Linked DNA regions of Mus musculus. The protein of the gene in region 1 interacts with the protein of each later gene in a pairwise test. Links are inferred from orthologs where the notes say so. Each region holds a gene or a part of one and is shown in the gene's direction. Other genes may lie near its edges.

Region 1 (3,817 bases):
ACTCAAATTAAGTTGTGAACAATTGTTTTTTTTCCTATTCTCATTTTTTTCAAGGAACTTGCAAATTACACAGATAGTTCTGTCCTATGTAACTAGACTGGTATATAAAGCCAAAGAAAGCCCCTTGGTGTCCCCCTTTCATAGAACATAAAATTAAAAACAAAAACTTTCTTGGTATATGACATAGTGGTGTCTCCTGGTGAAATATTAAAGTGTATTTTGTCACCAAAGTGTGTTATAAATAATCTGTAAAATTAATCCATGCTCTGTGGAGGTGGAGACAGTAGCACCCCTGGGGCTCACTGCTCAGTCAGTGTATGCTGCTGGGCAAGCTTCAGACAAGTGAAAGACTCTGCCCAAAAGGAGCGTGGTAGCCTTTCTGAAGATGACACCTGAGGTTGTCCTCTGGGCACCACAGAAAAATATACATGCATGTGCACATTCATAAGTGTGTACATGCATGCATGCATGCACACACACACAAATGAACACTTTTTTAAAATCAAAAGGAGAGAGAACAAAAGAAGAGATATAAACAAAGGATTATATGTAGTCTCACTTCCACAAAGAGCAACCATTTTTATGTTACATACACCCTTCAAATTAATATATTTTGTCTACACATAACACTACTCTGATTCTTGGGAGACAAGCTGAATGCAGTATCTCCAGGCTGAGAGCACTGCTGAGTGGCTGTGAGATTCACCAGTCTCAGATCTGAGGCTGAGATCTGTTTTCTTTCCTGCCTTCAAACATTATTGTTTCCCAAAACAAGATCCAAAGCTCCCTGACATCCCTCTCCCTCTCCCTCTCCCTCTCCCTCTCCCTCTCCCTCCCCCTCCCCCTCCCCCTCCCCCTCCCCTCTCCCCCTCCCCTCCCCCTCCCCCTCTCCCTCTCCCTCTCCCTCTCCCTCCCCCCCTCTCTTTTTCTTCTGCTTGGGACATCTCGTAAATGAACTTGTCAAATCGATTCTTTTTCAGGAAACTCAGCCATCCCAAGCTGGTGAAGTTCTACGGAGTATGCTCAAAGAAATACCCCATCTATATAGTAACTGAGTATATAACAAATGGTTGCTTGCTTAATTACCTGAAGAGTCATGGGAAAGGACTAGAAAGTTGCCAGCTCTTAGAAATGTGTTATGATGTCTGTGAAGGCATGGCCTTCTTGGAGAGCCATCAGTTCATACATCGAGATTTGGTAAGCTCATGAGAGGAGAGAAAAACATAACCCACCATTCCCTCCTCCAGGGACAGGGCTGCTGGGAGGTCTGACAAAGAGGAGGCCTTCACTTTACTTTGCACATTGTGACTCCTGTAAGCATGTGATGGGTTTGTAATAAAAATATCACAATTGTAGAATACAATATTTGAAAGACGTATAGAGCCATCAGAGCAAAATAAGTCATGAGGCTCTCCATAGCTACCCGTGCTGTGATGTGAAGCACAAACGGAATGACTCAGGCAAATTTAGTGTTTCTCAAAACCACTGAACTGAAGTTGACTCTGAGAGCCTACTGGGAAAGCAGTGACTTGATACAGTAACTAAAAAGTCAAAGAGGGGGATGGGGCAGAAAGAAAGTGTGTGTTTGGGTTGGGGCAGGAGTTCTGAGTATTGTTTGGTACTCGCTGGTCTTCAGCTTTAGAGACCTCCTTCTGCTGAGGCCAAGCACACTGCTCATAGCAGGCCAATACATCCCATAAGCCTTGCATGACTTCCAAGCATCTGGGAATGCACAGGATCTAGTGGAAGTCCTTGATAAGCTGAGATTTTTTTTTGTTTCTTTTTTTTAATTATTTTTTATTAGATATTTTCTTTTTTTTAAATATTTTTATTAGGTATTTTCCTCAATTACATTTCCAATGCTATCCCAAAAGTCCCCCATACCCTCCCCCCCCCACTCCCCTACCCACCCACTCCCCCTTTTTGGCCCTGGCCTTCCCCTGTACTGGGGCATATAAAGTTTGCAAGTCCAATGGGCCTCTCTTTGCAGTGATGGCCGACTAGGCCATCTTTTGATACATATGCAGCTAGAGTCAAGAGCTCCGGGGTACTGGTTAGTTCATAATGTTGTTGCACCTACAGGGTTGCAGATCTCTTTAGCTCCTTGGATACTTTCTCTAGCTCCTCCATTGGGGGCGCTGTGCTCCATCCAATAGCTGACTGTGAGCATCCACTTCTGTGTTTGCTAGGCCCTGGCCTAGTCTCACAAGAGACAGCTATATCAGGGTCCTTTCAGCAAATGTTTATAAGCTGAGATTCTGTGTTCAAGTATATTTTCAAGTAGTTCAGATGCTTGGGTGAACATGCGTTTTTTGGAAAAAATGGAAACTTTTATTTTCTTTTTTATTAGATATTTTCTTCATTTACATTTCAAATGCTATCCCCAAAGCCCCCTATACCCTCCCCCTGCCCTGCTCCCCAACCCACCCACTCCCACTTTCTGGCATTCCCCTGTACTGGGGCATATGATCTTCGCAAGACCAAGGGCCTCTCCTCCCATTGATGGCCGACTAGGCCATCCTCTGCTTCATATGCAACTAGAGACACAGCTCTGGGGCGGGGGGGGGGGGGGTACTGGTTAGTTCATATTATTGTTCCTCCTATAGGGTTGTAGACCCTTTAGCTCCTTGGGTACTTTCTCTAGCTCCTTCATTACGGGCCCTGTGTTCCACCCAACAGATGAGTGTGAGCATCCACTTCTGTATTTTCCAGGCACTGGCATAGCCTCACAAGAGACAACTATATCAGGGTCCTGTCAGCTAAATCTTGCTGGCATATGCAATAGTGTCTGGGTTTGGTGGTTGTATATGGGATGGACTGTGTGGGGCAGTCTCTGGATGGTCCTTCCTTCTGTCTCAGCTCCAAACTTGGTCTCTGTAACTCCTTCAAGGGTATTTTGTTCCCCATTCTAAGAAGGAGCAAAGTATCCACACTTTGGTCTTCCAACTTATGAGAGATTTTTTTTTTTTAAGTTCAGAACAAACAGGATTGTGATAGGCTGTGTTGGATTTTGCTGAGACTGATGCTGAGGGGAGGAAAATATCTGAGTCTGATATTGGGAGGTTCTTGGTTGCTTTTACTACTTGGAGATTTTTGCTTTCCCTCCCAAGGCTGCTCGGAACTGTTTGGTGGACAGTGATCTCTCTGTGAAAGTCTCAGACTTTGGAATGACGAGGTAAGCCAGAAATCTCCCCAGACAGCTTTTCTTTCTGGTGTTCCCAGGAATAACATCAATCACTTCTAACACACTGCAAGCTGTAGTGTTTCCATCCATTGTAGTCAAGAATTTGATTTCAAGCTGGGTGACAGGATCAGTTGGTAGAGTGCTTGCTAAACAAGCACGAGTTTGGTTTTGGATTCCCAGCACCCACATTACATCCAGGCACTGTGGTGTGCCCCTAACCCCAGCAACTGTAGGGCGCAGATAGAAGGGCCAGCCATTCTAGCCAATCAGCTAGCTCCAGGTTCAGTGAGAGACCCTAGTTCAAAGATTAACTTGGAGAGGCTGGAGAGATTGCTCAGCACTTAAGGACTGCTTTTTTAGAGGATTCGAGTTGGATTCGCAGCATCTGTGTCAGGTTGCTCACAACTTCTTGTAACTCCAGCTCCAGGAGATCCAACACCCTCTTCTGGCCTCTTTAAGCACACACACACACACACACACACACACACACACACACACACACACAGAGAGAGAGAGAGAGAGAGAGAGAGAGAGAGAGAGAGGCCCTTGAACATATACACAATTAAAAATAAAGTATCTTTTAAAATGAAGATGTAAAGTAATTGAGAAAGGCATCCAACAGCTTCTGCATAT
Region 2 (3,817 bases), on another chromosome or scaffold:
GAGAGGTAGATACAGGCAGCAGTTCTTTATACAGAGGCTTGGGATCTAATTGTACAAACAAGGCTCAGGATGTGATCAGTTACCTTACTAAGAGAGCATGTATTAGCATGCCGTTTGTCATGTTGTGGGCACTTGAAGAGCTCTCTGGATCTAACAGGATGGCTGGATTTCATCAGTTCCAGGCAGGTTTGAGACTCGGTCTGCTGCTCTGGCTGGTGAGTGCTGTGGCACAGGAGAGGGGGCTGTTTAGAAGTGGGGTCCATTGCCCATCATGTGGGGGCTGGGATCTGAAGGGACACAAAGAACTGGTGTTGGCTGCACTTGTTGTTGTGGCCTTCTCTGCCAGTTGAGGATGTTCCCCACAGCAAGGAAGGCAATCGGGGAGCAGAGCTCTGGTGTGGATTTCAGTGTCCCCTGGGGCTGTCTCACTGCTGTCCTCTCCTCTGCATGTGGCCATCTGTACGTGCATGGTAGCCTCTCCAACCATGGGGACAAGGCTTCTGCCTCCCGTCTCCATGACCCTCATTCTCCTACCTCAGTCTGTGAGGGTCCTGCCATTTTCTTCTCACCTTTCTCTTCCAGCTATGGTTTGGATGACTTTCTCTTCCAGTTTGTCCTACACTGCATCTGAGACGGATGTCTCTGTGCTCTGGCCCTTGCTTCCCTCTCAGGGCTTTCCATAAATCATCTCCCTGCTCTGTGCTTTTTTCTTTCCTGATGGGGCTTCCCCAGCAGCTCCTTCTCATAGAGTTTCCATAATGGTGACTCAGTTTCCCCTCCCCACCCTGTCGTCATTCCTGGGTTCTACCCATTCCCCATTTGCCATGGCCATATGTGGGAACCCTGCATGGAGGCTCTCTAGCTAACGATAAACAGGCATTGAAGAACTGGTATCAGCTATCAGGGCTTGCTGGAAATTGAGTATTATATTTGAACTCATTGCTTGACCTCTAAGTTTGTTTCCAGGGCCCTTTATTGTGATGAAGTCACTCACTTTCTTGGTTATGTGGATTCCAAGCTGCATGTAATTTTGGCCAGTCAGCTAGCCAGCCATAACCTGTGACATCATACACTGTGTTCTCCATATCCCTTTCTCCACGTCCCCCGCTCCTGCTCCAACATAGGTCTTTTTCTTTCAGACCTCCCACTAGCAGCTCCGTCCCATGAGCTGTATCTTCTGTCTTCACACTCCTCAACTCACCAGACACAAAGATCCCCGCTGAATCTGTGATGTGCTCCACCATTCCTCGCCTGTGTCTACGCTCCCTTACCCTTCCTCCCCATCCCGCTTCCCACTGCTTGCTACTCTCTAGCTTGTTCTATTTGAGCAGAGCCTGTCTTTGCCCCTCTGATCTGCTACCCACACACCCTTACCCCAGCCACCCCGCAGTCCACAGGCAGTGGATTTACTTCTTGACCACAGTCCTTGTCTGCTGTGTGCTGTCAGGTGGGGCTCCGTTCCATGTTAGCCTGATCGGGGGCTCAGACTGGAGGAGCCTTTGCCATTGTGGAGGACCCACTCGGTTGGCCATGGCACTGGGAGATGGGAGGAGGAAGTCCTCTGAAACTGCCTCTTAACTCTGCTCACTTAAGCCAGGCGTGGTGGCTCACGCCTTTAATCCCAGCACTTGGGAGGCAGAGGCAGGCGGATTTCTGAGTTCGAGGCCAGCCTGTCTACAGAGTGAGTTCCAGGACAACCAAGGCTACACAGAGAAACCCTGTCTTGAAAAACCAAAAACCAAAAAACCAACCAAACAAAAAACCCTCTGCTCACTTTCTCCTTCCTGTCACTCGTCTCATGTATGTGCTCGGCACTAAGGGATAAAGAGGTACAGTTCTGTGTGCTCTTAGAGAGCATGAAGGCAGGGACACTGCCGTGGGTGTCACACTGGTCTAGGCAACATGGGTGAGGGATCTGTGACCAGAAAGGCACCTAGAGATCTAGCAATGGCTGAGAGCTCTGCAGACAGAGAAGCACAGGGTGGGGCAGGAGGAATGAAGAGGCTCTGAGAGCTGTGTGTAGCAGAACAAAACGTGCCCAGTGGGTAGTCACGGAGCTTCAGCAGCACACAGTATTTCCACGGGCTTTGACGGCTGACTTTGTGTTTAGCTTTGGAAATAGTACTCAGAAAGCAGTTCAGGGGAGCTGTAGGTCGAGTGGCAGAAAGACAGCCGCCTCTAGTCCAGACAGACATACTGCTGCCGGAGAGTTAGGAGCCCTGGATCCATGTCTTGCTCAACTGCAGGCTTGGTGGGGCAACTATAGTTATCTTAGCCTTATTCTTCTTGGTTTCCTGGCCTTTGGCGGTAACTTTTGGTTCTGACTACCAGTGACCCCCGTGTTGGGCAGGAAAGCTTTGTACCTGCTGTACACCGTGGTGCCCTTTTACGGTGGAATTCTTTTCATCGAGGAAGACCGTATGCAAACAACCTAAACCTCCAGTTAAGGAAGCGCTTACAGAGAGTTGCTATTTTCCCTAGCTCAGCATCGTGGGGTTATACCCCTACCCAAACTGGCTCCCTGCTGTCAACAAGTACCTCTTCCCCGAGTCCCACAATGCTCCAGAATGCCTGTAACAATGTTGGTCTGAGATTTGGCTAGATCCTCAGCACCTCACTTTAAGCAGACAGACAGACCTACCCCATCCTGTAGGTGAGGAAGCTGAAACTCCCCGGGGTAACAGTGTGACTGAAGATGTGTCACTTTAGCAAGAAAATTTACAAGCTCTCTCAGGGCCATCTCAGTATTTGGCTGGAATGATGGGTCCCACTTAATACATTTTCAGAATCTTCTAAAACCTTTTTCCTCCTCAGACAACATCTTTGTGCCCAACAAGAATGGATTCTACTGTCACTCCCAGACAAGCCTGGATAGAACCCAGATTGACCTCAGTGGTCGCATCCGCAACGGCAGCGTCTACAGTGCACACAGTACGAATTCCTTAAACACACTTCAGCCCTACCTGCAGCCCTCCCCCATGTCCTCCAACCCGAGTATCACTGGCAGTGATGTCATGAGACCCGACTACATCCCGTCCCACCGGCACAGTGCGCTCATTCCCCCGTCTTACCGCCCGACCCCTGACTACGAGACCGTGATGAAGCAGCTCAACAGAGGCATGGTGCACGCAGACCGGCACAGCCACTCGCTGAGGAACCTCAACATTGGCAGTTCCTATGCGTACAGCCGGCCCGACGCCTTGGTCTACAGCCAGCCCGAGATTCGGGAGCACCCTCACCTCACCTCTCCCCAGTCAGCCCACTACCCCTTTAACCTGAACTACAGTTTCCACAGCCAGTCTCCGTATCCCTACCCTGCCGAGAGGCGGCCAGTGGTGGGCGCCGTGAGTGTGCCTGAACTGACAAATGTGCAGCTGCAGGCTCAGGACTACCCAGCTCCAAACATTATGAGAACCCAGGTGTACCGCCCACCCCCGCCGTATCCTTACCCAAGACCTGCCAACAGCACCCCAGACCTGTCCCGCCACCTCTACATCAGCAGCAGCAATCCGGATCTCATCACCAGGCGCGTCCATCACTCAGTGCAGACCTTCCAGGAGGACAGCTTGCCCGTGGCTCACTCTCTGCAGGAGGTCAGCGAGCCCCTCACAGCAGCGCGCCATGCCCACCTACAGAAGAGGAACAGTATTGAAATCGCAGGGCTCACACATGGATTCGAAGGCCTGAGGCTCAAGGAGAGGACGGTGTCAGCCTCAGCAGCAGACGTGGCGCCCCGGACCTTCTCAGCAGGCTCCCAGTCCAGCGTCTTCTCTGACAAAATGAAGCAGGAGGGGACTGAAGAGCAGGAGGGTGGCAG

The links.
Region 2: the proteins of Bmx (region 1) and Ptpn21 interact in binary tests that used the Homo sapiens proteins (3 or more experiments, as listed by UniProt). The link is inferred for Mus musculus from reciprocal best matches to the Homo sapiens genes BMX and PTPN21.

Annotation. Positions count from the first base shown.
Region 1 is NC_000086.7:164,202,548-164,206,364, reverse strand, and holds part of Bmx (cytoplasmic tyrosine-protein kinase BMX), read left to right. Parts: intron 1-980; coding exon 981-1,197; intron 1,198-3,110; coding exon 3,111-3,175; intron 3,176-3,817. UniProt on the Homo sapiens protein: Non-receptor tyrosine kinase that plays central but diverse modulatory roles in various signaling processes involved in the regulation of actin reorganization, cell migration, cell proliferation and survival, cell adhesion, and apoptosis.
Region 2 is NC_000078.6:98,688,626-98,692,442, reverse strand, and holds part of Ptpn21 (tyrosine-protein phosphatase non-receptor type 21), read left to right. Parts: intron 1-2,814; coding exon 2,815-3,817.